Linked DNA regions of Schizosaccharomyces pombe. The gene in region 1 interacts genetically with each later gene. Each region holds a gene or a part of one and is shown on either strand. Other genes may lie near its edges.

Region 1 (7,628 bases):
TTGGAAACAGCAATTCTAGCAGCCAAAATAGCATAATCAGGATGCTTTGTAGTCATAGTCGCGGCAGTTTCAGCAGCTAAATTATCCAATTCAATAGTGGTAACACCGGGATACACACCAGAAATGACTTTTTGAGTGATTTCGACGGGATCAACATGATCGGAATCAAGGCCATAACAAAGCCTCGAAACACGAGCAGTGATTTTGTCAAAGGCCACTTTCTCTTGACGTCCGTCTATACAGTTAGTACATTATTGCTTTTCGATTCAATGTCAACAGTCAGTCAATTTTGAATACAACGCCACCAGCAACGAATCTGTCAGCAATCAACCGAACACTTGGAAGTAGAGCAAACGGCTAAAAGAACATTTGCTTAAACATCTCTGCACACAACAAACAGTGAATACTGAATGACACGCTTAAACAAATAGAAAAATCTCAGTTTCTTTAAACATTTACTCCCCAGTAAAATCACGACATTTTTCGAAACGGCAACGTTGTAACAAAATTTCTACTAATCTTCTAACTGTATTTTATTTCCTGTTTCATACCTCTTTTGTATACAAACATCGTGTTTGTTCTAGTTTGTAAGGTGGTAAATACCGGGAATATTTATAGTAAATGAAAAACGCGTTCAGACGCGTCACGCTAATATAACGTGATGCCGCGTCGCGTCATCCGAACTTTAAGTCATGTTGATCAATGTAAATAAATAAAGCTAAGAGTGGAAACCGGATCATTTTTGTAGCTCTACTATATCTAAAAGACGTTAATTAAGACTTGCTAAATAGATTTATCTTTTTCACTTCTGAACATCAAAGTTCCGCTAAAATAAGTCCGACTTTTAAAAATTAAAAAAATATTTTTTTAAAAAAACGCGATTAAACATGTTGAAGTGGTCTGACCTGATACAATACATTCAACTGTTACATTTATCTTTTATTAAACATAAAAAAAGTGTTTATAAATACTCTGTTTACGACTGAATGTAATAAATTAAATATTTATTTACGCGTCTCAATTGCAACGCGACGCGACTGTTTACATAAATTAAACACGCGGTCCAACCCGACTACCAACCTGCTCTATGAGATTGAACTACTAATTTCTCTAATATATCTAGATATCAATTTCCCCTTGTTCTTTATATTACTTTTTGATGTTGTCAATTACCTGTTGGAGAAGATCATAACATACAATTGATAAAGTATTGTTTCCTTGATTTATAAATTGTAAAGCTAAGTTGAGTTAGCTTTTTTGTTAAGACCTCTCAACTTTTAGATTTAAGATTTTGATTCCCATTTCTGTTGTAATATGTAACCTTACTAATGCTTTACATTAAAGCATGAAGATTTCGACTCTGCATTTTACTTATAAGCACTATAAAAGGTACACATAGAGATAGACAAACAGCTTTTAGTAGCTACAAAAACTTTGTTCTTTTCCCTTTAATTCACTATTTGCTCCCTCGCAATTATCCTTTTTTTTAGGTAAAGTCAACAATGCTTATATCTTCATCTGATAATCTTGCCTGTAGACAGAGTGAAAATCAAATGGTAATACAAATGCATAGATAGAATAACAACGGTCACCTTCAAAACATGAAATTGCAAACATTGGTATGCTTGACGTAAAGAGAATGAGATATAAACAGTGTGCAAATTTCCGCAAAATACAAAATGTTTAAACCATCAACTACGGCTATCTGCTACTTCGACTATCAACGTGTATAAAAATACCAAGCGCCTGTATACCAGCAAGGTTATCAACAGAGATAATGTCGCTTCAATTTTCTACAATAATTCTAGTGCAAAATTGGAGACCCAGCTAAAGTTCCACGATAATAAGCAATTACGTGCTGTGAGAAAGCTTATAAAATATTCGGGTTTTGATCGAGTTTCAATCGAGGTGTATATTCTTTAAATTACCGATTTATAAAAATTTACCAAGTCCTTTGACTAGGTAGAAAGGATAATAATGATGGCAATCCTTAACAAAAGAAACAAGGTATTATAGGAAAAATAAAACCATGCAATAACAAGGCAATAAGGGAAATTTTCTTCAAACTAATAGCGAAGAGTATAGCAAAGTAAGCAAAGACTGAAAACAAGACGCATACTCCTTGCAGGTGCCTATACGTTGCAGAACAGTGAGGGGAAATGGTAGAACAGCTATATGAAATGCGCTTAAATCATTGCCAAGCTGACTAAATGGCACGACTTGAGGTAAGTAAAAAGGAAAGAATGAGAGGATATAATGACTATGTAACATGATAGGCCACACAATGCAAAACTCCCACCAAGGTGAAGGTGAAATAAAAATCAACATAAGTCGAAAAAATACGGAAACTTGTTGAATGTGCTTCGACTGAAGAGATGTATAAAAACAGAAAAGATAAATTCTCTAAGTTAAAAAATTTGGAAACAAGCTGTTTACAACAAGATACAACGCTTCTTCTTCTTAGTTCCACTAGAGGGCTTCACTTTGGGCTTGTGTTTGAGCATAGCAGCACGAGTGGCTGATTCAAAAACCTCACGAACACCTTCATTCGTCTTGGCAGAACACTCAAGGTATTTGTAAGCACCAATCTTCTGAGCTACTGCTTGACCTTCTTCTGTGGTGACGGGATGCTGATTAGTCTTGGATAACTCCTCAATAATTTTTGGGTCGTTACGGAGATCAGCCTTGCAAGCGACAAGCAAAATAGGAAGACTGGAACAGAAATGGAGAACCTCGGAAATCCATTTTTCTTGAACATTGTCAAGAGAATCGGGAGAATCAACAGCAAAGCAAATAAGGATAACATGTGAGTCAGGATATGACAAGGGACGTAGACGGTCGTAATCTTCTTGTCCAGCCGTATCCCAAAGAGCCAACTCAACGTGGCGTCCATCAACCTCAACATCAGCTACATAATTTTCAAAAACAGTGGGAACATAGACCTCGGGAAAGGTTCCTTTAGAAAATACACTATAAAGAAAAATGTTAGAAGTTGTATAACAATGACACAGACTCGTGAAACATTGCAGATAAGCAAGCAAAGAGTAAGTAGAAATACAGGGTACGGAGTGCAAATTAAATCCTCGGAACATTTATTAAATGTAATCTAAACCCCATCTAAGTCTCATTTCTATGGGGATTCTTTCATTATTTTCTTGAGGCAATGAACATGCTTACGGAAATAATTTTCTTCTCCAGCCATGCTAAGCAAGAGATGTAAACCCTTGCCAATTTAAAACAGGCCCAAGCAACTACTTTACCCTTCTACTACCTTTCCGACGCTTGCACCATTTTTACTTACATTAATAAGCATGTTTTACCACATGCACCATCTCCCACAATAACGAGCTTTCTGCGAAGTTCTGTCGCCATCCCTAGATTTGTTTACTTTCTCCTGCTCTAGACAGAAAAATTTCGACGTAAATAAACGTTTTTCGACTCAAATTCTGACACCGCTCTTTCCTTCGATGTGGCAGTGGTTAGCTATTTACTAGGCTGTCAGCGGCTCATGTAACAACGAAAGGAAAGAAGGAGACGCTACTACACTTCACTAAATCTCGTTACTTTGCCCTAGCGCTCTTATAGATGAACCCTTTGAGTATGTATGGACGAGGCTGAGCCTGTACAGAGTGTAAAGTGCAATTAAAACAGTTTTATTACAAAAAGATTGTCTCCACTCCGACTTGATGTCAACAGACGTTTTTTTGTTTGAATCACAAACGCCAAAAAAAGCAGAAACCAGCGGAAAAATTTCGTTAACGTATTCAGTTTAGTCATAATATTCGAAGATAACGGAACGCATTTAATCCGCTTATCCTATTTTAACGTACACACTTTATTTCAGTATTTTATAAATAATAAACATAGCAGGAATATAGAAACTTTTGGAAGAGACATAAAGAAGCAAAGCTTCGTATAAATAGCTATAATTATAATTGTATACTCATAAAATTAAACAGCATTCTATTTGTAAAATGCAAATGTGAGATGAATTCCTAAATTCAAAAAGCGGCAATTTTTGGTGCCGAAAAATAATTTTACATGTCAGATTGAAGTAATAAAGCAATATTACGATGCTCTTTCTTTCTATCGTCGTTTTGTTTGCTCTCTTATTTCTCGAGATCAATAAAATCCTACTTTAATTTTACTAAAATTATATCGCCCAAAAAAATATTGATCCGGTAGCAGATCTACAAATATACAAAAATGAAATGTAACTTTAGCCTCTTTTATTCTTCTTCATAGTTAAAATAAAACAGACGGTTTCAGTAGATCTATAACTTAGCTCTTAACTCACTACTTTGTCTCTTTTAACTTTTGCCATTGATTCATTTCAGTACTGGAGAACATAAGACCAATATATTAAACAGTTTGAACAGCGCGCCCTATAGATTTCCCACAAATTGAAAGAGAAAAAAGTCCTGAGTCGTTATTATTGAACATCTATCAAATTGGATACCGTATTATTGATCGCTGACATTTCATTTTGTAGTTGACAAGAAAAGAAAAAGCGGGTTGAGTAAACTTTACCTTTTAGTGCTTTAATCTTGTTTATAAAGTGAAAGTGGTTGAAAGCTGTGTGGCCTCTTAATTATACACATATATATTTACGCGGTTACTTTTTTTTTATAGTTTATAAATTAAACTGATAGCTTTCGATGATGCCATCATCAAGTTTCCAACAAACTCCCAAACCCGTCGATTTAGACGATCCAAGGTTTGAACAGTACGATTGCTTGCCATGCCGCTTGGTGGGCGCAGGCGCTTTCACAGGTCTAGGAATATATGCCTATTCGCAATCTAGAATTCCTTTGAATACACCCAATTACAAGCTTAAACGATTCGGTATTTTGGGAATGGCTTATGGATTTATTCTTACCGGTGTCTATAGATTGTTTCAATAAAATGTTAATAAACGTCGTTTTCTATTATCAGTTATCTTAAGACGTGAAGAAGTAACTTGAATCAGAAGTAAATGTTTTTTACTAAATTGCATTTTAATCAAACGGGTGAAGTTTTTTTGCTTTCTGATGCACATCCAACAAATATGCTTAAATGGTAACTAAACCTATACACTATAACAATTATGGAATAAAAGAAAAGAAGCAGAAATGAAGGGAAAATTCTGAAATATAATTAAAAAAAGAACCATAAATAAAAAAAAGGATGCGAATACACTAAATAGTTGACTTTTGTCTAAAAATAAGATTTAGACATTGATTGCTTATTGAACCTCCTCGTCGAGTTCATTGTAAGAATGCTTGTGTGAATTGTTTTAAAGGTCTTTTACCCCAAACTTTGTAGAAAATTATAGTTTAAAAAAATCTCAGAGACAACAATTGTATAATAATGAAAGAATGTGTAAGGTAGATGGAATGTAATATATATGTAATACGACACAACATTTTCCATCCACGTTTAACGAAAAGCATTGTTAGGTAATGGTTTGCGTCGACGTTCAGCGTTGTTATTATTTTCAGAGATGCGGGTATAATCTGATTCCATAAATGGTTGTTCGACGTCAGTATTTCCACGAAGGTTGGCATACGAAGCTTCTTCGATAGCGTCCCAAGGGGAAACATATTTGTTATTTGTGAACGTACTGTCTGAATCATTACGATTCGAAAACGGATATTCTGGTGTATTAAGGTCAACGGAGCTTCTCAACGTAGTTCCAGAGTAAGCCGGATCAGAGAAGGCCATGTCGGAAGAGCTCATATCCTTAATAGATTTGTTATACGAGGTAGCCTTCTCGCTTTGGTCATCGAGGATACGGTAATAAGTACCATGTCCTGATTTACGGAACAGGACGATAAGTGTACGTATAAATATACCCAGGATCAAAAGAAGCATTGTAATAGCGTTCAATGCAAAAAATATAATGCCAATAACTTGACGAGCTAATTCCTCCACATAAAAAGCTTGACACATCACTAAAATAAAAGAACCACTTATCAAATTCATTAAAGCAACACCGATATGCAAAGTATTCATGTGTTTAGTGGCATAAGGTCGGAGAATCACCATAAGAGCAAAAACGACAACGCTAATACCAAACATGGCACAGCCCTGGACTTTGGGTGAGCCCTGACCAAAACCGATGAACATTGAGCGTACCAAGGTTATAAGCAACAGTGGGAAAGTAAAGTAAAAGAAACGGACGTCTAATTGCACGTACATAAAGCCCCAACGCATCAAGTGTTGAGTGTCAGAATATAGGTTGTACAAGACGTCAGGATGGGAATAAGGTCCTGTTTTGCGGATAATTTGAATTGTCCGCACAAATGCATAGCAGAGCAAAACTGCCATGTCCACAATCACGTACATTGATAAAAATGCCAAAGCGGAAGAATCACGAGTATAGATTTCCCACATGGACAAAACACTCATTTGAGTGAATCCGACAAAAATCACACGATAGAAAAATCCTTTGGATATAGATTTCCAATAAAGACGGATACGTTGCTTTTTCAAAGCTTGATTTCTGGATGCAAGGAGCACCATTTCAACAATAAATCTAGAAGCCATAGCAACTAGTAATGAAAAGAACAACAATATAATAAAAAAGGAAAACCCAGTAGCAAAGAAATTCGTCGTTTCAATCCCCATCATATATGAAATACGCTTGATTCCCCTCAGGGTAATAGAATCACTTGTGCTAGTGGTGACAGTAGTAGTTGCACGCTTGGCGAGAGAGCCCAAATCAATACCACGTTTTGCGAGGGCGACATTAGCATGTATACCCAAATCTACAAGAGTAGATGGCGTGCCGCCAGTTGATTTAACGTACCATGTAAAAACATCTTGCATGAAGCCAATCCTGATAATACCCATCGACCACATGAAATTACGGCCCCAACTGTAAATGATAGCAGGAAGAGAAGTAGCCATCATGGAATACAAAGCCTGGATTTGAGCAAACTGAAATAAGGTAATCATCGTTTCAACGATTTCCCAAAGTGCGGGTGTTTGAAGAACAGGGGATATCAGTAAGAAAATTAAAAGTGGGATACCGATTACCATACACATAACCCAGTAAACAGCTCTGTGGTAAACAGAACGACCATTTTGCACTGTAGTACGAACACAAGCTAATTGTGTGTTTGTATCTGATTCATAAATATTAATAGTCACAACAGCATCTAAATCCGGAACTGTGTATGCAATGGAGGGAATACTATCAAGAATAGAAAGAGCCTCTCCGGTTAAAGTATGACTACCAGATAAAGCAATATTTCCAGTCTGCATTGGACAGAAGCCAGAAATTTCCATATCGCAAGGATCTATCACCTTCTTTATTTCGATTCCGTATGCACTAATGTCGACGTCTATACTGACATTCGTAGAAACAAGAGATTGTATCGAGATATCAAAGGCAACAGATTGATTGTCCGGAAAATACGAGGCATAGAGCTTACTTGCTGATAACTGTGAATCAGTCATACATGTGGACAGAGAGTCGGCGGAAATGAATCTGGTTAAAGCATCAGCCCATGAAAATAGCTCGACGACCACAACTAAGAGTAAAAGTGGGCTTCTCCAAAGCCTCATTTTGCAGTTGATGGTAGTGAGAAACAGTTGATTAATGGAAAAACAGGAAGGTGAAGTCAAAAGATGATATTAATGAA
Region 2 (7,624 bases), on another chromosome or scaffold:
AAAGTGTAGAATGATTTGGACGTAAACCATAATGCGAAAGATCCTGAAGCAATGAAAAAGCGACTGTTTGAAAACGAACATCGGTAGCTAAAGCATGAATTAAATTATTAATAACGAACGTTGTAGGGGTTAATGGATCAATTGGTCTTAATTTCATCTCATTGTATAAGTCAAGTGCCTTTTCTGGATTATACTGAGAAGAACATATTTGAATCATAAGACCGTATGTTTCAGCCGACGGAGAGATGCTAGTTGCTGTAAATTTCATAAAATTGAAAACTTCCCACGCCTTTGTAAATTCTTTGGTTCGAGAAAATGCCTTGATACAGGCATTTAAGAAATCCTTTGATGGGGTGATTGAGACTGATTTTTGTTCTGAATAGAGTGCAACTAAATCCTTGTGTTTACCAAGGGAAGAAAGTGCAATAGCATATGATTGATACACCAAACCATTCGGAGGAGCATTTGATTTTTGATACAAATGATACAATTGGACAGTCTTACGGAAATCGCCAGATGCGTTGGTGGATTCCATAAGCAAGACAAGCAAATCAGGCATAACTTTCATACCACTTTCTTCAACAGCTTTCCAAATTTCTAGGGAACTTTTTGAAATAACAGTTTGAGGAAGATAGTTAAAAAAGTTGACTATTTCTACAATATCAACCCCTAAAAAGCATTTAGGAATGTTTAAGAGATGGCGAAGATGACTGTTCCATTCTTCGGTAGAAACCTGACGATTTAACAACGTATTGTCATTAGCTAGATTTGAAACAATATGATCGACTGAATAATTATTGCTGGCTGTGTTCTTAGATTTCAATAGCCCGATTCTCGTAAGTAGAAGTGGTCCAATTTTCAATGGAGTTGTTCTCCTCAATTCGTGGTTACCTGTAGATAAATGATTTTCTTTTTCCTTATCATAAGAGTTAACTTCTGATATAAATTTAGTCCAAACTTCATCAGGAATGTTAAGGGGAGACTATGCTAACGTTAGTAAACAAGACAGTATCTTTTAGCAGTGTTATTTTGTACTCAAACCCTTTATTTAATAAATATTTTACCTTTTTGTTTATGTCATTTAGCTTAACATCCTTTAACTTTTGTTCGTATTCACGTATTTTCAGATCTAATTCTTTCTGTGCCAACTTCCAAGATGCCTCATTTGTTGAGCATCTAGCTTGTATATTATTGTTCAGGAGATTTTTAGCAATATTAATGTTATTAGGGTTATCTTTATGATAATGTAAACGTCGGCAAGGACCACAAAATCTTCTAACAGCTAAAAGTGTTAAAGAGCCAGAACATTTGTTTAGCATAAGGTACAGTAGCTTCTGAAATCTCAAAAATTAAAGATGTTTGATCTTTTTTCCTGATAAAGTAGTCAATAATATATAGATATTAATACCTGGATTGAAACGTATATTTTGTGGATGGAAAGTTAAGTGGGTATTAAACGCTTTGATAATGATCTCGTATTTTCATTCCTCAAAAGAAATTTAATTGCTAATATTTTAAACTTTTACTTCTGGTTATACTACTATAAGAATGGATTATACAAACTTAAGGAAGAGGTGTGGAAAAATTTTACTCACAATGAGCTTAATATCTAATAAAATTGTAACTGATTTAAGAGTGTAACCGTATACTGGGCTATTAGATAACAAAATGCAATCGTTATATATATTAAGCCTTACTCAGATTTAAATGCTTACTACATCTTTACTTTCAAAGCCACATACATGAAAGTGGAAACGCCGACATAAGTGCAGCCGATGTGATATTCAAACCACATAAAAAAGGAAAGTAGTACATTATATAAGCAGGTTTAAAGCTGTTTTTATTAAACTAAAACCTACTCTGAATAAAGTGAGATTTAAACTGTTGACACAATTTAAAATAAATAGTCAGTTGTACAAAAAAGCAACCAAATAGTGACCAAAAGTCCCACTTGCTAAATCTAGTGAATAAATAAAACAATGAAGACATATTCAATAGAAATTGATTTGATGTCGAAGAACAGGAATACTTTTTAAAACAAAACAAAAACAAGAAGACCATTATTTTTACTCATAGCTTTTGAAACCAAACAAAAAAACGAGGGACAAATAAATAAACAAAGTGGGTATTTAATTGCAAACCAAAGGCTTGCAAATATCGAAAAACACAGGGAAATACAGAGGTAAGGCTTATGATCAACAATATCGGGATTTACATTTGTAGTAAAGCACAGATTGAGCTTGAAAAATGTAACTTCCTAAGATAACAGGACAATGTCATCATTCAAATAAGCAAACATATTATTTTTGGAAAAATCTGAAGCTCGCACAATCCTAACGTTTTCTTCGAGGACAACGCCTCCGTGGCTTTGGCGAACGTCAAGGACTCGGGTTTGAATTTCATTAAGTAAGGCTTGACTTCGTGATCGTTCCACTGGGGAAACAATAATTGGGTTTGTTATTTCAATGTTTCTAGCACGATATAATTGTACTTTGATGACTAGCATGTATTGTACAGAGTAAAGATCAGAGGTGGTCGTGAATCCAGTGATATTTGCATCTTCAAAATCAATGTCGGGGAAAGGTTTAGAAAGGCTTTTCGATAAACCTTCCGATGTAAGTTTCATATCATCCAAATCTTCTTCGTAACGTAATACTTTCTTTTTACGAACTATTGGGCTTGAAGAAGAGGGATGTATGAACGTGATGTATTCAACCAAGGAAAGAGAAAGTTGCTGTACTCGTATTTTAGAACCATTATTAGGCATGATGGAAACGAAGACGGAGACGAGATCCGAAGGTCCAATACACAGTTTGGGTATTGATACCTCTACTACAACACGACCATCGCTACTCACTTGCCGAATATTAGTAGGGGAATTATACATCCCCCAAGAAGATAGATTATCATACCTGCTGAGTGACACTGGTACAGTGGTAGTAATATCCGGTACCCCTAGTAAACTCATGTGAGCACGTAGTTCATATTTCGTGGAGCATATTGTACCAGACCGATTCAATTCAAAAGTCGATGGAATTTCTGAATTTTCGGGAAACGGGATTTCAAAGGGAAGGTCCATTGACCATACCCTATGAGTAGCGTAAGGATCTGAAGAAGAAGAGAGTATAGGAGTTTGGTCACCAAAAGGAGTGATAGATGTGTCATTAGAGGAAGATGTGGTGGATACTGATCTAAACGGAGTGTAAGGAGGTTGATATACCGAAGATCCAGAGGCATTAGGAAGATGAGGTGGAGGGATAGGTGGAGTAGTACGGTTATGAGTATGAACAGAAGGATTATCCTGATCAGACGCATAAGAATCTACTATCCAATCGCTAGTAAGGGAGGGTGGAGGTGATTTGATAGACAAATCGCTGATAGAATAATTATTATCATTAGGAGGTATGTTATTTTCAGGATGCTCGGAATGAAGTGGAAACAAAACCTGCCTTGCCAGACACTTATTATCTGATAAGTGATTACTTATACCCAAGGATGGTATTACCACTGATTCAATTTTCCATAATTCTAACGTTATTTGAACCAAAGCCAAAGGTTGGTGAATTTCTTTACTTCGAACTTGGACGATACCAACCAACCTTGGAGCTGAAGTTGGTATCCCATTAAATCCAGCTTGGAAATCCAAATGTGGTAACGGACGTATCTCCAAAGGAGAAAATTGCCGTATTAGCGTACACGGGGATGTCATGCTCTTACATTTAGTGAGTTCCTCTGGCTTGGTGCTGGTTATGGGAAGTTGAATCTACCAAATGGTAGACAGGTTGGTTCAGTGCAGCAATGTCAGATCTAGATAGCTAAATAAAATCTTTTAAGCACTCGCTTAAACACTGCTAAGTGACTTTTTATAGCAATGAAATTAATAATATTTTATTATATAAAAATCTAATTTTAGGCCAAAAAATGTACTTTTGTTTCCATTCCATAGAATTAAAATCAAAAGCCTACAATTGATAGCCAAGCATCTAAAGCTAGTATCTGTTGTAAAAAAGTTCCATTTTGATTACAATAGTAAAAACTAAAATGACTTTAATAGCCTAATTTTGAAATTGGTATTTTCAACTTAAAATTCACTTACGAAAGCCTAAAATATGTTTATTCTTACAGCAGAAGGCTTTTTTTTTGAATTTTTGAATTTTTGAAACCATAACACACGATTGATCGCAACATACATATACGAAATATAGAAGAGAGACTGAATTCAAACGAAAACAATATAGCAAGATATCAGATTATTGAGCAGCAGAAGAAAGGGAAATAAAGCAAGTAAATACTATTTTACTAAAAATCAAACGAATCTCTAAAAGAACAGATATTTCACGCATAGTTAACAGACAATGCATAACAAAAAATTCAAAATCGAGAAAAACAAGAATCAAGAGCAACTGGTAATGCTAATTTTTGATAGTTATATGAGCCGTAGTATGATAAAAAACCCCGGCGATAATTGAGGAAATTCATTGCTGATGTACGACTCTTTTCTATCTAGGAAATAATGATTGTTTGAAGGATAACCTGAATATAGGGCTTTCTGTTCATTCAAAGATCCCTTCAGGAAGTGTTAAATGGTTTGTATAAAACTAACTCACATTTTCCGATTTATCTTTTCATTTTCAGGGCATATATCAGAACTTAAAACAATTTACTAGTAGCGATACGCTACCACTTACTTATTAAACGCTTAAAAGAGTAACACAGTGTACTGTCATGAATGTATATTTTATAAAAGCAATATGATATTTAATTTACATTAATATACTTGTAAGCTTCTCACGGCTAAAAGTAGTGATAGCCCACATTGAAGTAGGATTTTAGTGTAATGAAATCAAACACAGTAGGCCCTAAAGATAAACGGACACTTACATGTTAAGCAACATAATTTAAAATCTTACAAGCAAAGCTAGCGGCTCGAAAGCCAAACATTGTAATATAAACACAAAAAGTAGTTTGTTTACAGTAAATACCGCAATACTCGTATAACGAGGTATTTTCACAACGTAAGCAAGAACGCGCTCATCCTTCCAGGTTGTTGTGTGTCACAGCCTCTCGCGATTCACCCTTTACAATTCACTCGTGAATGATAGGAAAACGCAATGCGTCAAAAAGGACGCGTCAGGATGATTGTATTACATATGAAGAGTATCAAAGGAAACGTAAAAAGACATTTTTGAACACGTTTGTTAATATTTGTTCTCGTACAGTTACTTATGCAAAACTTTTTTTGACAAAAACTCCCATTTCTGAATTGGATCGCATCGCTGGCGAGGCGATACCATCTAATAGTAATAGTACAAATTCAAAACTAGAGCCTTCTACTAAAGCCCCTGAATCTCGGTTTTCTCACATAAATTCCAAGACTGAACGTGGTTACGTGACGGTCGAATCTGATATGTCTTCTCACAATACTCTTGACAGAAATAGTAAACCTACCGTTTCTCATTCATATACAAATTCTAGTAAGGATGAAAAATTTTTGGATCCCATTGCTCTTCAAAATCTATTTTCCCCTGCCTCTGACACGCATTCTCAAAACATCCATGACGAAGCATTATCTCCATCAAGCTTTCGTGTGTCTCGTTCGAGATACTTCCCCCGACCTCATCGGTCTTCCAAAAATTTATCTGTTAGTAATCGGTTACAGCTTGCGGTTTTTAAGGAAACAACTTCATCGACATTATCCCACGGTAATTCCGTTGAGGCTGACGAAATAAACTCTTTTAATCCTACACCTTTCTCTTCTTCTCCTCTGCACTTTACGAACTCCTCTCCAAATCCAAACTCTGACATTGTTACACCGGACAAGCAGCTAGATGTTGTTAGCGAACACGCCAGATATAAACACCTTCCTTTTACGGCTACGTTAAGAAAGAAAAGTCCTCATGATTCAACGTCTCGGAAAGCCTCTTTTAGGTTCGTTCAATCTGATCAGCAACCAGCGCGGAATATCGTTACTTCTGATATCCAAAATGAAAAATCATTACTGTTGCTAATTCGAGATTTGAAAGAAAAGCAAACAGAATCTTTTCAAGATTGGAACGAAGTTGACTTTTTACAATTAAAAGGTTTGGAAATATCTCCACCCCCCACTCGCCCCAAGTTCATTCCGGAACTTGAGTTTCCTGATAATGCTCGAAAGCGTGCACTGAAATATTTAAACCAAAGCAATTCTGTTTCCTCTTCTGAACCCATCATCACCAAATTTAATATTCCAATCACGCTTAAAGACTTGCATACTCTGCGGAATAGACAATGGTTAAATGACGAGGTAATTAATTTTTACATGAATTTGATTTCGGAACGCTCTAAAATTGATTCATCCTTACCTCGGGTACATGGGTTTAATACTTTTTTTTATACATCTTTGCAGCGCCGTGGATACGCGGGTGTTCGAAGATGGGCCAAAAAGGCACGCGTTAATATTGCAGATATGGATGCTGTATTTATACCAGTACATCTGGATGTCCACTGGTGTATGGCTGTTATTAACAAATCGAAGAAACGATTTGAATACTGGGACTCGCTGGCCGGAAGCCCTGGTAAAGTTTTTGATTTGTTGCGCGACTATTATATTGCAGAAACAAAAGGTGCCGTCGACGTGTCAGATTGGGAAAATTTTATGGATGACAATTCTCCAAGACAACGAAATGGACATGATTGTGGAGTTTTTGCTTGTAAAACTGCTGAATGTGTATCTAGAAATGTTCCTGTTCAGTTTAGTCAAAATGATATGCCTGAACTACGAATCAAAATGGCAGCTAGTATTATTGATGCACAAATCTATTAAATATGTGCTATAAACTTTTTGTCTATATACTTATCGTTTTTTATATTAATTTCTTTCTCGTTCAATACATTTTATTTCATATTCAGCGTTTTCAAAAAGGACATAATTTACTTAAATCTATATTAGAGCGTATGCATTTTTTAAGTAGCAGGGAATACTCTAATTAATAAATCTGAATCCAGGAATCTCAGCAAATATAGCTTTTGAAAAAAAAAATACCCGCATATCTTATAAACAAACTTAAGCGCTGAGCTGACGAGCGTCGAGCCCCATTGCATTTAAAAACAAATTAACATTGCTGATGCGCACAACAGCAATTTCAGAAGGTGCCCGTTTGCTAGTAATGATGTTATCAAGTACTCTGTCCCTATTTTTTACATATTTGTTAGTACAAAAACTCGACTAGACATATTTTAACGTACCTAGTTTCAGAAACCAATGTAAAATGTTGTTCAGAGCTAGCAGCAGTAGCACAAGCTGCTAAGAATTCCCATGGATAAGATTCATCAGCATAAGCTCGAGCGTTAGGTGGTGGGAATACCGTCGAGAAATGACCTTTTACGCGATTAAACATAACATTGAATGTATTTTCCCTAAATAGTTAGATGCTGTAAATACATGTATAACGTACCATTCTTCTTTTTCATTTTGATTTACAGTGCCAGATTGCTTTAAAATTTCTGCGCGACTAATGAATAGAGTAAGGAACGACAAACCAATCTTCGTCTGTATTAAATAAACAGCATTAGTGCGATTGAGAAGTTGAGAAAATAAGTTATTTATAGTTTCCAAATCAAGTTCATTAACAATAGTGAGCAATGG
Region 3 (7,398 bases), on another chromosome or scaffold:
CCCTTTTGGAACAAATGGCTTTATAAATTTATCATTTTTCGTTTGCTAACATACTAGTGTTCCGATGGTGTATTAGGGTATAGCGATTCTCAAAAACGTACAGCTGAACCGACGCAGATGCGACTTCCCGAAATTTGTCAATTAGCTACAGGGACGGACCATATTATTGCCTTGACTACCACAGGAAAAGTATATACATGGGGTAATGGTCAACAGTTTCAACTGGGTAGACGTATGTTAGAACGTCGTCGACTTCAAGGCTTGACTCCTCAACCGTTAGCTTTAAAAAATATTATTTCAGTTGGAGCAGGATCGTATCATTCTTTTGCGATTGACAACAAAGGACGCGTTTATGCTTGGGGCTTAAATATAACCAGACAATGTGGAATAGAGGTAGAAGATGAAGAAGAAGGCGCCGTTATTACAAAGCCTACACTCGTTGATGCTTTAGAAGGATATAATGTTAAGTCTATTACAGGTGGTGAACATCATACCCTAGCCTTACTTGAAGATGGGAGAGTGTTAGCCTGGGGTCGAGATGATCGTCATCAATTAGGAATTCCGGATAATGCACTTCCAGAAACAGTAGTTAAAGATGAAAAGGGAAACAATTACTACTTGTCAACCCCTACTATAATCCCAGGACTTACTAATGTTATACAGGTCGTGTGTGGTACCCATCACAACTTGGCTGTTACCTCAGATGGTAAGGTTTATTCATGGGGATCTGCTGAAAACTACGAGGTTGGTCAAGGTGATAATGATGAAGATGTAGCTGTTCCTACATTAGTTCGTTCCAAGGCAATCAAGGAAGTGGCGATCCGTGTAGCGGGTGCAGGTGGTCAATTTTCCATCATTGCTGGTATTCCCAACGCTTCCGAAGAGCCAGTTGCAAATGGCATAAAAAGCGAACCCGAAAATGAAAAAAAATTAAAAACCGAAGAAACTTCCAAAACGGATGACTCTCCCGTTACTGATGCAAAGCCCGATGTCACCTCTAACGGCGAACCATCTACCGCTACATCTGAATCTAAGGATTCTGTTCTCGAACCCAGCTCCACCACTGCTTAGTACTTAATTTCTCAATTTCTTTTAACTATTTTTGGGCTAGATAAATTATTTTGAATATCAATGTGTTTGATGCATACAAAATTCATGAGTTTTCCAAATGGATAAAAAAATCGCAGATTTGCTTCAAGAGCTTCAAAGCTCCTCCAACGTAACGAGTAATCAGCTTGAAAATGTAGACAAATCATCCATCCCTCTATCGAAGGCTCGGAAACCCTCTGATTTTGAGTTGAACAATTCTATAGAGGACGCAGAAAAAATTAAAACCTATCCCGCTGCCTTGAGGTACATCTTTGCCCTAAATTCCCGCCATCCCGAAAAGTTACAAAAATTAAGAAAGATGAAGGCTATGCAGGAACGTCAAGAGCGCAACTGGTCTCTGGAACGGCAGCGGCTAGTTCAACATTTTGAGTCGAAAACTAAGCTTCAAGAAATACTGAAACCGCTTTCCTCCGACCCTAAATTGAAACAACCGTCCAATTGTCTTAATGACCAGACCAACAATGATTCCGCTCAAACTTTAGATGACAATAGGGCTTTACAAGAATTTGATGAACAAGTGGTACAATTGACAAACAGGATGTACAAAGAACAGCTTGCAATCCTTGCAGACCTGAAGATACCATTGTTTTTGTCAGTGAATAATGATGAAGAGTTATCTGAAGATCAGAAGCGCCTCTTACAATTGTTACAGGATCTCCTTGGAGCCTAATAAAGTATAGATTGATAAATCCTTTCTGGTTACAATGTCGTTGTTGTTTTCATAAAAGTTTCTTTGTACAGATATATGGACACCAAATTAATAAAAATTTAAAATTACGAAAGTAGCTGAAAGCTGTCAGATAAATTTACTATGTAGATAAATATATTGATCTACCAAAACAAAAAACAATTACAAAAAACAATAACGAATTGGATAATTTGTTCTTACTATGGTTAAGTAGAACTTCTAAAATGAAAATGGCTGAATACAAAGAAAAAAACATAAAACGACAGTAGCGGTATCCAGCCTAAATGCAAATCCCAATAAAACTAAAAGAGCGGACGGTAACAACTAAGTATATATGTACAAAAAGATTCTTCGCCATACAACCAAGGACAAAGACAATTAAACTAGATAAACAGAGAAAAACAATTAAAAGTATTACATACGATTTTCCCTCCGGCGATCAAGTGTATGGAAAAGCTTCATAGATGAGCTTCTAGACAATGAATACGAACGAGATTTGATTCTTGGGGGTGAACCAGGATCCACCTCGGAGCTTTTCATGTTTGAAAAATTTGAACTCGGACTATTGGAATAAGTGGCACTAGAATGACGACTAAAAGAGCGCCAACGCTTAATGGATCCATTTCTTGGATTAAAAGAATTAATCCTAATGGATGTCGAGGCTATAGGAGTAGGTGCAGCAGATTGCGTAATTAAAGTAGAAGAAGTATTTGGAGAAGTAGGCGCAGCTACCAGAGGAGGTAGTGAAGACAAAGGAATGGTTTTGATAAAGCTTCCTTGATGATTGATAAGGAACAAAAGAGCCGTTTGCGATATTTGATAATCTTTTGAGTAAACCTCGTGATCAGGATGAGATAGAATTCCAGGTTGGAAAATAGCAGCCAAATTATCAGCAGTCATCAGGTTCTTCGACGAGTTCATCGCAAAAACGGAAAGTAAGTCCAGTAAATAAAGTAAAAGCTGGCGATTTGGAATCGGTAATTCATCAATGCGTCGACGATACATTTCCACTCGCTCATTGTCTGTAAGATTGGGAATTGTCATGGGTTCACGAAACCTTTCATAATACTCCAAAGGAATCACATGCTCTGGCATTAGATTGATGAATCTCCGAAAAACATTGGCAGCATCATGAACTGTGTATCCTTCCCAATCAAAACTTCGGCCATAATCCGGGCCTGTACTGAAAGCTTTTTGGAGAATTTGGATTCGTTTGGAAGAACCATTAACGCGAAAAATTCCCTTTACTTGGGTAGCATTTTGTTTAAGAAAAAACCCGCACTTAGCAACGACAGCGGGAATGTAGCCATAAAATACTTTCTCACCGTCTCGGCGTGTCAGAAAGATAGCGACCTTCGATACTTCCAAAGCCCTTGTAAGGCTCAGACCAAACAATTTATTGTCATCTGACTTTTTAACCCGCAATTGCTTCCACCAGCTAGCGAATGATGACTTTTTCCCCATATCGTCAATCTGTAGGACTCCTACGACAACAGTCATGAACAATGGCTATTGTAATAAAAATTGAAAAACTTAACAAATGAAAACAATAAAAAAAAGAATTCAATGAGGAAAATGAGATAACAGACAAAAGATTTAAACCCAAATACAATGAAAGAATTGTAGATGTGTAAAAAAAAAGTAACCGATAAATTGACACTCTTTAAAATTGAATAACAATTCTGTTCAACTCAAATAACACTGTTCTCCACTAGATGGGTAAACTTAACTTAATAAATTGCGCTTTTAGAATTATTTGTTGTATTGTGTACAAAGCAGGTTCACACTACGGGGTTGGTAAGTACTAGTTAGCTATTGCAAGGTGGGTGTCGCAGTTTCACAGCCGGTACTTCCGAGGATGCTCGGGGAAGGCAAATCCTCTAATAAAATACCAAACTACTCGCTTGGTTACTAATTTAAAGGAATTTATAAGTCGTTCAAGCGAGCAACTCGTAAAGAGAGAGGCTTAGCATTGTCCTGTACGCATTAGCGTGCCAATATCGTATACTGACCTTTGGATGATGGAATGATTTTACCATACGATTCGATACATTCCTTAACACTTCGGAGAAAACAAACATTCTGCTTGCGATAGCGAAGATTTTGCAATTTTACGATCATGGCACATTAGCGTTAGTGTCAGTAGGAAGTGTGCTGATACCACCCATCCCAGATTAGCAGTGCAAAGTGGGCTCATTAAAGGACGAGTTGAAAGTCATGTTCCTAGGAAATATTTGAATTGCGAATTCTTACAAGTCAAACTGACGAGTTTTGACAATGAAGAATGCCCTCCCCTTGGTTGTTGGTATACTGTTTTTATTGATAAATAAAAGTACCATGTCTCTCTGTACATACAACTACGATTTTCGATATACAGGAATGTTTAGATAATTAATCTTTTAAGAGAAATTCTTTTAGTAATGCAAATTTCTATGATTGTATAATATGCTTGAAACTGTGATTTGTCTGGGGTTTTCTTTTTTGTTATATTTTTATTATGTACAACGACTCTTGTTCACCCAGGTCGAAGAGCTAAGGGTCGCTCATTTCTATATTTCTTTCAAGTTTCCTTTTTTTGCTTAATACATTATCATTTGATTGTTGCGATTGATTGTTACAATCGATCGCTCGCACCGATAATCTCAATTAAGCTCAGCGTGTTGACTTACTTTATCTAACCTTTAAAATAGGTCATCGCTACAAAAATTAGTAAACGAAAGAATAAAGAAAATACAAATCCTTCAATTGATTTCTCGTTTTACTCCCTTTTTACTCGGCAATGTAATAATAAATTAATAATATACATTACATTATTTTTATTTACTACACTTTTAAAATAGCGATGTGGGTATTGGACGCATCAAATCAATTCATTGAATTGAAAGTCTGTAAATACCGGGATTTGTCATCCCATCAAACAAAACTAAGCTGCCCTCAAGAAATTGTACAAAAATTTAAAATTTCTTTGACTAGCTCCTATTATGCGATTGTTTCGTCGAATATTTTATATGATCGGTTCGAAACGATAGCCATGCAAGATGAGCAGCAACAGTAATGCTCGTTAAATTAACTAAAAAGCAACTTATTACAAACCAATTGGTAATTTCATAAAAAAAATGAAATGGTTTGGAGAACAGTGTACAAGCTAATGGATAGCATACTAAACGTAACACACCAGACAACCATGCATACTCGGATTTACATAATCAACTTAGTATCTTTATCTTAAGATACAAATTAGTATTTTACGCAAATTCTCAAAAATCGACCGAGTAAATAAGTAATGTCATCTCATTTTATTATTTACTACGAAAATCAGCATATTTGTAAGGTGAGAAGCTTTCAGCTCTTAAGCTTAGATAGTGGAAATTTTGCAATCCGTAAAATGTAGATTGTGAGAAGGATCTTATATGATTGTATGCATTATGTAAAGTTGGTTTACGAATATGGGCTTTAAATATCCTTGGATATAAACAAGACATTGGGTACTACTATAACTGTATAAATTGTTTACAATTTGAACTGAGGAACAAAAATTCGGTCGATTTATTTTAAAGGATTTTAGTCTTAAAGATAATTACTCTCAAAGAACGGATATATATCCGCTGCGGAACGGAAATATAAATAACTACAGATTATATACTGATTAACGACATAGCGTAGTAGAAAAATACAGATAAGATATCGTTAGTTTTACGTTACGCTAAACTCGATAAGATATTCTCATTTCTCCTGCTAAATTTGCTGTATTTTTCCTCGCAAAGCTTCGGTATTGAAAAAAAATAGTATAATAAGTTGTTTGTTATTTAGGGATTGCACAAATTGAGTATTATAGTAAACAGTTTTTCAATATATATCTACTCAATTCCTTCGTACCCGCTACCACCAGCAGTATAGAAAAAGTGAAAGGGAATTGAAGGAGTTTGAATTGAACCTGTTCAATTAAAATTCTTCATGTATCTGCTAAGCAGCTAAAGTTATTAGAAATGGAAAATAACACTGCTTCTTCGCCGTACACAAAATTAGAATTGGTGGGACGCGGTTCGTACGGCGCAGTCTATAGAGGGTATGAATATTATTCGAGTGATTCTTTTCTACATTTTCTAACATTCTAAAGAATTTGCAATTTAACGAAAGAGACTGTTGCCATCAAGATTCTTAATTTGGATACCGATGAGGATGAAGTCTCTGATATTCAGAAAGAAGTCGCTGTTCTTAGTGAATTGAAACAGTCCGATGTCGAAAACATTATAAAGTATCATGGCTCTTATTTGGTAGGTACTAATTTATGGATTATAATGGATTATTGTCATGGAGGTAGCGTGCGTACTTTGATGGAGGCTGGTCCCATTAGTGAACCATGCATATCTTTGATCCTTAGAGAGACCTTACAGGCATTAAAATTTATTCATCATGCAGGTATCATCCATCGTGATATAAAAGCTGCCAACATCCTAGTTTCCATGTCTGGAAATGTCAAGCTATGTGACTTTGGCGTTGCTGCCGAACTAAACATCAATCGCCGAAAGCGAATCACGTTTATTGGAACGCCTTATTGGATGGCACCAGAAGTTATTCGAGATGGTCAGGAATATAATGTTATGGTATGTTTCGTTGCTGATTACTTATAGCCCTTTACCTATTCCACAAAATTATTAACAAAGTTTAGGCTGACATTTGGTCGCTCGGAATCACTGCATATGAAATTGCTACTGGATCTCCACCTCATGCCAAAGAGGATCCTTTTCGTGCCGTTTACCTAATCGCTCACACCGCACCCCCTAGACTCAATGGAAATTTTAGTGCTCTTTTAAAAGAATTCATTGCCTCTTGTTTGCAGGATGTCCCTCAGAGGAGATTAGATTCTTCCGAACTTTTGAAATCAAAATTTATCAAACAATATTCTCGCATGTCTATTTCTGAACTTACCAATGTTGTAAAACGCTATGACACTTGGCAGGCTGCTGGCGGCATACCCCAAACGCTACTCTTGGGTGAAGAAGCCGATGATGGAAGCGACCCTGATCAGGAAACCTCCGACACCGCTGCTTCTGATGATGGTTGGGAATTTGGCACTATTAAACAAGGTCAAAGTAACGTTTCATCCATCACTGGCACTTCCACCTCCACTACTACCGCTGCTACTTCCTCCACTACTGTAACTGGAACTGTAATTCCAAAATCTTCCACAGTGCATGAACCCCCTTCATCTAATGATTCCCATCCGTTATTACAACTTTTTAAGGATTCAAAGATTTCGGATGATGATTCTCCCAGTAACGCTGAAGGAGCTTCTACTGAGGATTCCAAAGGTGAAGTATCTTATTCTCAAATCGAATTACCTAGCTTAGATTCCTCAAATCTATCCTCCAAAAAATCAACCATTCAATCGAAACACACTAAGCAAGCTGAAGATTACGATTTGTTTGTAGGTCGCACACGCTCAAATTCCAAAACCTCATCGGATCAAAGTATCAAACGACCCCTGCCTCGAGTTGTGCAACGTCAAAAAACTTCTCTTGGAAAACGAGGAATATCCATGTCACCAATGAAGCCGGGTCTTCGTATGCCATCCTCATTCGACCTCCAATCTAGAAGTA
Region 4 (8,285 bases), 4.0 Mb from region 1:
TTCTAAAGTTTCTAATGCATTCAAATAAACTTTTGCCAACTCAACTTCGTCATCAGGTGTGATTTGAGATTTTTGGCGAAGACGCTGTTCTTCTTGCATAGCGTCTCCGTGCGTCACAATTTTTGGTGACGGAATCATCAACTTATCATCAGGATGACAAGGAATCGCATCCTTCGTCTTTTCTTTTGCTTCTGCACCCACTTCAAAAATAGCGGGTGAAGAAGCATTACTGTTAGACATCATAGATATATTCCTTTCAAACTTGGAATTAGCAACCTTGGATGATACATTAGCAACCGATGTATTTTTGTGATTACCAATAGACTTATTACTTTGCTGTGGAATAGGGGAAAACGAAGGTGTCACAGCTAAGTTATGTGAAATCGGTGTGCTATCAGCACGCATTATCGGGGAAGAAACAGAAGGGAGAGGACGAATGTCAGAAACTAACCCATGGGTTGTGTGTACCGGAGGAATTGGCGATAAAGGACTTGTTTGACCGTGTATAGAAGTAGGCATTGGTTTAATTGCCTTAGGACGTGCAAGGTTTGTAGGATATGAAGGTAAATTATTAACAGTTGGGTTTGTGCGATTATTATCATAACCTTCGGGAGAGTTATTATTCGAGTTCCTCGAAACATTTCTACGATCAAATGTAGGAGCAGGAACCTCAACTGGAGAACGAGCTGGTAGCATTACCATTTGAGAATGTGGATAACGAGGTGGTTGTTGAAGTGTAAGCAAATCATCATTTCGAGGATTTTTCAAAGTTTCGGATGATTTTAAGTCATTAGAAACTGAAGGAAGCGAACGTTCATCGCTTTCTAACCCGAATGAATCTGTATTCGAGTCGGTTGATGAAAAGTGACTTTTTGAAGGGAGGTGTCCAGAGTTTTCATAAACTGGTCCCAAATGACGATGAGCAGGTTCTGCATCTGACGAAGCATTAGAAACTGTATTTGTGATGGAGTCACTTTCTGCTCCATCTTCTTCCTCCAAAGTTTCTATTCGAGAGTTACTCTTAAGCTGATTGTCTTCAAGTACAGTATCGTCATCCTTGTAATAGTTATCTAAGAAGTCATCAAACCCACCGTATGGTATGTAACTCATACGACGCTGTACACGACTTATAGAATTAACACGTGGAGGTGCCATATATTTTCTATGAGGATCCGGTTGTCCAATCTCATCCTTTCCATCATCTAAATTGGTCATTGGCGTTGGTCGCGGAATAGAAACCAAAAAATCTTCTTTCTGCTCATGATTTATTTGTATTGGGGCATCTTGCCGATCCAACTTTAAACTAGGTGAAGGCAAAATAGGAGAAGCCTGTCTCAAATTAGTGTTCAGCTTTAACCCACGGTTAACTACACGTTTGCTTGTAGGAGCAGGTGCAGCTGGAATTTTATACTGTGGCTGTGGCTCCGGCTTGACCGGTATGGTTGCACGCGGCAATTTGTCTTTGAAGGTATCTTCACTAACAACAGGCCGGGATATTTTTTTCTTGGAGAATTTCAATGCTGAAGGTGGAGTACCCATTGTAGCGCTCATTATACTAGCCCTGTTCGCGTCAATCCTTGAAGACAGGTCCAAAACATTCGTATACACTGGTTCATGGCTCAATGTCGGATATCTCGATGTAGGACGAAATTGAAGAGTAGGGGAGGATGAAGAAGCTGTGTTACCGCTTTTTAAAAAAGCTGGGGTACCCTCTGTTCTTTTTCCATTATTCGTTGCGAATACCAACTTTTCCTTCTCATACTTCCTCCGAGAGCTATGTGAATCTTTCATTAACAGATTAATTTACGAGTGAAATAAAGAGCAAAAGGTAGACGCTTTAGGAGGAAAGCAGTAAGAAACGAGGATAATGAGGTATCGCAGTTTGATGAATGTTACAGCTCTTCTGCTGTTGCCAACAAAACGAATATCTTACAGCTCACTAAACAACAAATAATACACGAAAACAAAAATTTTCCAAAATAGTAAAAATGGTTCAAGATATTAAATTGCAGATAGTGTCTATTTCCCTATCAAGTAAATGATTTACATAATTTATCTGGTAATTGCAAGTTCTTCTATATAAATGGCGAAAGCTGAATATTGACGAATAAAATAGTGGAAGATAAATAAAAATATAATATAATATAATGAAAAAGGATACTTCCAAATAAACATCATAAAATTAAAGTGATAACTTTCGCAAATTGTAATGTAAATGCCGTTCGAAAGTGAAATGCAATAGTAAAAGACAGTACTGTAAATGTCAAAACATCAAAAGCGAAGCTCAGTATCTTCGAAAATAGTTAATAACAGTAGATGTCTTATAAAAATACCATGAACAAGGGTCATTAAATTTCCCTTTGATTATAATAGAGTCCCGAAAGAAGGAGCAGAGAGGGGACTAGATAATGCGCTACTAGAGCTAGTAGGATGACTATTTTTTTGATGCCTAAAAGTGAAGCCGATAAAAGCATTGCGTTTAGGCTTATTAAATGTGTTAACCATATTAGCAATTGCAGCTTGTTTCTCATGAACTTCCTTATATTTAGACATATCATTTTCATTAGTGAAATCATCAAAATATCCTGCGTCAATCTCAGAATTAAGGTCGGGTACAAACGGAGGACGATATGCTGTACGAACATTTTTCCAATCAATCTTTGAGAAGTAAGGATGTTGCATGACTTGCTTAAGAGAACAAAAGCGATCCTTGGGATCAGTAATGCAGTGACATACAAAATCCCATGCATCATCTCTCCAGTTGAATTCCAAATCGCGGGGATCATCATAGTGAGGGCGTTGAAAACACTTGCGCCAATTCTTCAAGTTAGACCAGGTTTCATTAACATTGGAGCCAGAAAATGGAGGAAAACCAGAAAGACATTCATACATGATGCAGCCAAGAGACCAATAGTCTACAGAGTGGTTGTAGTTTTCACCTCGTAAAACCTCTGGGGCCATATAATCAGGAGAGCCAACTACTGAATGAGCGTATACAGGATCCTGAGATAAAAGAGTTCGAAACACTTGTCGCCTTTCCCTCATGCTCCTTTCGGGAACAACGACATTGTTGACTTCTTGAAGACGAATCTTCATACTTTCAATCTTCTTTTTGCTGATTATTCCAGAACTTAAACCAAAGTCCGTCAATTTAATATGGCCGCTAGCTCCAACCAAAAAGTTTTCTGGCTTAAGGTCACGATGGATGTAACCAAGTTGATGCAAAGCATCAATAGCTAGGAACATTTCTGTAGCATAAAACTTGGCATGATGATCCCTTAAAACACCACTGTTGCTAAGCAAAGTACGGAAATCACCACCAGGAACAAATTCCATAGCGAGATAAATGTTTGAAGTATCCTGAAAAGCATAAAGTAGACGAACTAACCATTCCGAGTTGGCTGTCGTAAGGATATCACGCTCAGTAAGAACATGCCTGATCTCATCCATTTTATGCAAAACCGATTTATTCATGATTTTCAAAGCAACAATCTCTTTGGTGTCACGCTTCCTAGCCAACCAAACAGAGCCATATCCACCTTGTCCGACTTGAGTGATGGTCTGGAAATCTCCGTGACTAATGCGTGTCCTCCTTTTCCTTAGATATACTCGTTCACGTCCATTGTATCGCTTCACTAGCTCGTCTCTTCGTGAATCAGGCTCTTTAAGCAACTGCTCTTCAAAAAGACGGGCTCTTTGCTTGCGGGTATAAAGATAATGAAGCTGCTCAAAGTAATGGTCTAAAAAGAACATTTGACAAATGGTTGCCATTCTCTTTACCTTAGGTTGGACCACTTTCTCCATTTCTTCAACTGACAAGTTCATAGATCCATTTTCCCATCTTGGTGAACCCGTTGAACTTCTATCTGACCAATGATTATTATCCTTGTAGCTCAACTCGCCAGATCTATCAAGACCACGCGGAATAGGGCTTGCAATCGGTAACTTACTAATGTGTTTTGAATGCATATGATTGTCAGGATAATTTTCCTTCGAAGATGCCACTGGGGAAAGCTTCATACTATTAAATTGATCCTCCAAATTCCTTTCTTTATCATTATTCGACAAGTTGCCGGGTTCAAAAAGACCATGTCGCTTCATATATGCATCAAATTTCTTATCTGCTTCAGAACTTAGCTGAAGTCCTAAATCACCTTCAACTGGTGACATATCATTAACACGATTCATTATTAGTTTTCTTTAAATATGTATCGTAAACATCCAACGTTTTGGTCCCCAAAAAATGCAAAACTCCTGTCAATAATAACCTTACGTGTTTTGTTTACGGCAGAGTACATTTCCATCGGAGTTAGGTATCAGCCATTTACCCTTAGCAACCAAAGTTTGATTACAGCAGTCGCTGGAAATTTCAAAACTTAAAAAACCAACCACCAAATTTACTACTTAGAACAAGATTGTTAAAAAGTCTGTTTTTATTATTTATCATACAAATGTAAACTAGATATAGTAAATTTATCTCGTTATTTTTAAAATGTACTGTGAATGCAAAATACATTTTAAATTTGATGCAATCTTTTGATTTCAGAAGAAAAATGTAAACGTTCATGTATTTTATTTAGTATGCAGAGATGTTTCTATAACATCATAATCATTATTCGATAATTCATCATTCTTTAGTATGAAAAGTTATGTTCTTAAGCATAGCGTAGAAATAGAATGGGTACACAGATTATCTTGATTAGATAATTCAGCTTATTAACTTGCCATTTTTTAAGGCCGTAACGGCTGTTCAGAAGAAGAAATGGAACCACGATGAGGCATGTATTCGCCTCTGTTAAGTATTTCATCAGAGAACACAGGAGAGCCCTCCAAGAAACTTGGAGTATATGACGGGGTAAAGCTTCTTGGCATACTTGATGTGAGTGTAAGCGAATTTGTGTCCAAACGTAAAGGTTCTTTCTTGGGTGTCGCCAAACTTGACGAAGATGCGTTGAAAGGGACCTGTAAAGTAGAAGATGCCCAATCTGGAGATTGTTCGGCATTCTCAATCTCCTCTTCTTCATCCAATTCATGAAGGCGTTTAGTGCGGTAACTTTCGCGAATGATATCCACATCATATGGCCAAAATAACTTTTGCGTTGTCATAAACAAAAACTTCGGGAAAAGACAACTTACAATCGTTCCACATAAAACAGCCCAAAAATTTGGAGTTCTGAATATACGCGAAGCAGATTTATAAAATTCATATGTATAAAGGCTTTGAGAGTAGACGCCAGTCCAAAACCAAAATGTCAAACAACTGAGCGCCCATAAACCAATTGAAAACACATCCCAATTTGATTGATTCAGAATAACATACGTGTCGACAACCATAATAGTTGGCGCAGCAACGTAAACACCTAAATCTTGTACAGCCATAGTATCACGACCATTCTGAGCAGCTGTGGTCACATTGTTAATCACAAGAAAAGAGAAAAAGAAACAGATTACAGACTGATAAAACCCATCAAGCATATATCCAATAAAGATTTTCCTGGCTGAATTTAATTGCAAAATACCACGCTTGTAAAGCTGAGGGATCCGAAGCGACAAATCAGCATTAACATCTTGATCATAGACACCCATGACAATGACAGGTAACGATGAAAAAATCAAGTTAAACAGCATAACATAAGTATAATCGAAAAGGTAATTTGCGTCGAAATTGTTGTAAATCTGATACCAGAATAAAGTAAATGTCCATACAACACTCTTGTAGAAAAAGTTGTTTACCATTTCAGCAACACGATTATAATCCCAACGGCCATGAACAAGAACCAGCTTGCTCAAAAATCGGAATTGACCGATTGCATAATCCGCAGACATAGCTGCAGCACGGCCTTCTTCACCAACAATACCAACACCAATATCAGCTTTTTGAATCATTGCAACATCATTCGCACCATCTCCAATGGCTAACGTCATTACTTCAAGGCTTTCGCGTACCAATTGAACAACATCTGCTTTTTGAGCCGGACTAACACGGCAACACAAGACAGCCTTGCATCTTTTACAAAGTAGCAGAAACTTGGTTCTCATTGGACCATCTAAAACTCGTTTAAGTACTGATCCATCAATAACTAACGCATGAGAGCCAGAGGGAGTGTCATGATCCTTCTTAGCAGCTTCAAGTTCTTCAACTGATCCAGACAAACCAAAATAACGATATAAGTAGTCAGCTAAAATAACTTCCAACTCTGGTGTTGACACTTCTTGGTCCACATCAAACTTAATCATGTCCATGCCAGCGTCCAATAAATTGCAAGAAAAACCAATATTAATAGCAGTCTCCATTTTGTCTCCGGTCAGAACCCACAATTTGATACCGGCTTGAGCCAATAATGCAATTGAATCAGGTACTCCTTCTTGTAATCGATCCTCAATAGCTGTTCCACCGAGCAAAGTAAGATGAGATTCAATCAAATCGGCAACTTCCTCTATTTGCTCCTCACGGTTTTCAATTGCAGATGCGGCGATGTCATACTTTTCTTTCCATTCGTAATATTCCTCTTCAGTAAGCTCTCTTTTTGCGATACAAAGTGTTCGTAAACCTTCCAATGCAAAAATTCTGAGATGCTCAGAAGTGGTTTTACGTAATTCAACTTGTTCATTTGGTTCCAAACGTTCGAAAATAATGCTATCAGCACCTTTGCAAATAAGCACATAACGGTTATCGGGTCCTTTAACGATCACACTCATTCTCTTCCTCGCTGAGCTGAATTCAATAGTATCCATCAATTTGAATCTTTGGGTTTCTCCAAGAGCACGAGTAACCATAATGTCTCTCCGCTGGTCCAAAAAAACAAAGCCAACGTCGCGGGCGGTACCCACGAGTGCAGCTTCATCTGGCGATTGTGCTTTATAGACAATCCGGTCACCAACTCTGTCTGCAACTACGCTATGACAAAGGGCCAATGCCAAGAAAAACTCATAGCATGCAAGTGACTGTTCTTCACCAGCTTTGCCAGCAAGGTCATGAACAAACTGCGACGAGATGAACGTGAGGTTATCATCCACAAGGTATTTGTTGTCGTGCATATTTCGCATTTGAGAAATCATTTGCATTCGGTCACGTTCAATGAAACTTTGCTTTTGAAGAGTCAATTCTTCAGTATCCTTTCCCTCGCGTTTTGCCATTCCCGCCATTGCTTCGGTAAATGCCTCACCATACGCAACTCCGTTGATCGTACATTTTTTAAATTCCATAACATTTTGAGTAAGAGTACCTGTTTTATCAGAAAAGATATATTCCACTTGTCCAAGATCGTCAGAAATATTCCAAGATTTTGGAGTACAAGCATACTTTAGCTTCTTATAATACATGTCTTTGTCGAAATATATAAAAATTGCCTGGATGGTCTTAACGATTTCAATTGAAATATAAAGCGAAATGGGCACCAAGTTTTGAAAAAGAATAACACCAGTGAAAAACGTGACGACACCATCTTTGGCAGGAGAACCACCAATGGAACCAAACTCAAAGTAATACGAGGAGCGAGAATGACCACGCCAGGCGATTCCTTCGACAACTGCGCAAACAAAACACATGGAGAAAAGGATAATGAAATTAAGATAAACATTCCAATTAAGATTTCTAGTAATGCGACTACGCTTTAATGGCGGAGCACCAGAGTTCAGCATAATCTTGGTATCATCGCCAGTAAATACGACAACTCCAATCACCCATTTTGTATTCCTAAGGACACAACCACGCAATAGCATTGAGTCCAGACTGATGGGCTCTGAAACAGTTTGGGAGGTATCAGAGCCACCTGCTTCAGAATGGACAAAGGACTTACATGCTCCATTATACTCATAAAGGTTAGCGTGTGGTGGTTCACTCTCTATCCAAAAACGACATCTCTCGCATGAGGCCTCGTCAACTACATTCTTTCCGCACGTTAGAGCGTGACGCATTTTTAAGTTGGTTTCACCATCAAGATTCTTGGTTTCAATGTAACAAATACCTTCAGGGTCGGATGAATTAATGATGACTATATCTGCGGGAATTTCATCATTATCCATAACTTTTACAAAATCACCTACACGGACATCCTTCCAGTATGTTTTTTTGAAATGGCACTCGCCAGTAGCTTCGGCTTCATAATCAATAATATCCATGGGACGCGATTGGAGAATAGTTGCAGTCCCATCTAAAGCACTTAAGGGGACTTTGCCCTTTGAATCTTCAAACGATCGTTTTGCCTCAAAAGACTCTCTGAAAATAGAATCATAACTAGGTCTTGATTCAGAACCTGCCATATCTTCCAAAGGTACAGCGTCAT

What was found.
Region 2: of rho1 (region 1) and art1, extra expression of one rescues a mutant of the other (dosage rescue), as found in Schizosaccharomyces pombe (2 studies listed by BioGRID).
Region 3: of rho1 (region 1) and rga5, a mutation in one rescues a mutant of the other (synthetic rescue), as found in Schizosaccharomyces pombe (one study listed by BioGRID).
Region 4: of rho1 (region 1) and sid2, extra expression of one rescues a mutant of the other (dosage rescue), as found in Schizosaccharomyces pombe (2 studies listed by BioGRID).

What each region holds. Positions count from the first base shown.
Region 1 is NC_003424.3:4,219,924-4,227,551, reverse strand, and holds rho1 (Rho family GTPase Rho1), read right to left. Parts: upstream 3,482-7,628; 5' UTR 3,373-3,481; coding exon 3,302-3,372; exon of another isoform or gene 3,230-3,301; intron 3,067-3,229; exon of another isoform or gene 2,971-3,066; coding exon 2,433-2,970; 3' UTR 1,728-2,432; downstream 1-1,727. Other genes in the region: ribonucleoside reductase large subunit Cdc22, read right to left, coding at 1-235, 552-570; protein tam6, read left to right, coding at 4,659-4,904; plasma membrane TRP-like calcium ion channel Pkd2, read right to left, coding at 5,419-7,551. UniProt on the Schizosaccharomyces pombe protein: Involved in the regulation of cell wall growth and actin cytoskeleton organization. Activates (1,3)-beta-D-glucan synthase.
Region 2 is NC_003423.3:2,362,022-2,369,645, forward strand, and holds art1 (arrestin-related substrate adaptor for RhoGEF, Art1), read right to left. Parts: upstream 3,793-7,624; 5' UTR 3,710-3,792; coding exon 2,258-3,709; 3' UTR 1,794-2,257; downstream 1-1,793. Other genes in the region: PPR repeat-containing protein Ppr3, read right to left, coding at 1-982, 1,065-1,319; SUMO deconjugating enzyme Ulp1, read left to right, coding at 5,096-6,802; pdc2 (topoisomerase II-associated deadenylation-dependent mRNA-decapping factor), read right to left, coding at 7,043-7,169, 7,225-7,395, 7,434-7,624.
Region 3 is NC_003423.3:2,482,707-2,490,104, reverse strand, and holds rga5 (Rho-type GTPase-activating protein Rga5), read right to left. Parts: upstream 3,571-7,398; 5' UTR 3,299-3,570; coding exon 2,213-3,298; 3' UTR 1,896-2,212; downstream 1-1,895. Other genes in the region: pim1 (RCC1 family Ran GEF), read left to right, coding at 58-1,071; SPOM_SPBC557.02C (uncharacterized protein), read left to right, coding at 1,169-1,780; PAK-like kinase Nak1, read left to right, coding at 5,785-5,864, 5,916-6,402, 6,468-7,398. UniProt on the Schizosaccharomyces pombe protein: GTPase-activating protein for Rho1. Has a role in the negative regulation of (1-3)beta-D-glucan synthase activity and cell integrity.
Region 4 is NC_003424.3:219,665-227,949, forward strand, and holds sid2 (serine/threonine protein kinase (NDR family) Sid2), read right to left. Parts: upstream 4,290-8,285; 5' UTR 4,189-4,289; coding exon 2,365-4,188; 3' UTR 2,030-2,364; downstream 1-2,029. Other genes in the region: cfh1 (chitin synthase regulatory factor-like Chr3), read right to left, coding at 1-1,791; dnf2 (phospholipid-transporting ATPase), read right to left, coding at 4,732-8,285. UniProt on the Schizosaccharomyces pombe protein: Part of a signaling pathway. Required for initiation of medial ring constriction and septation.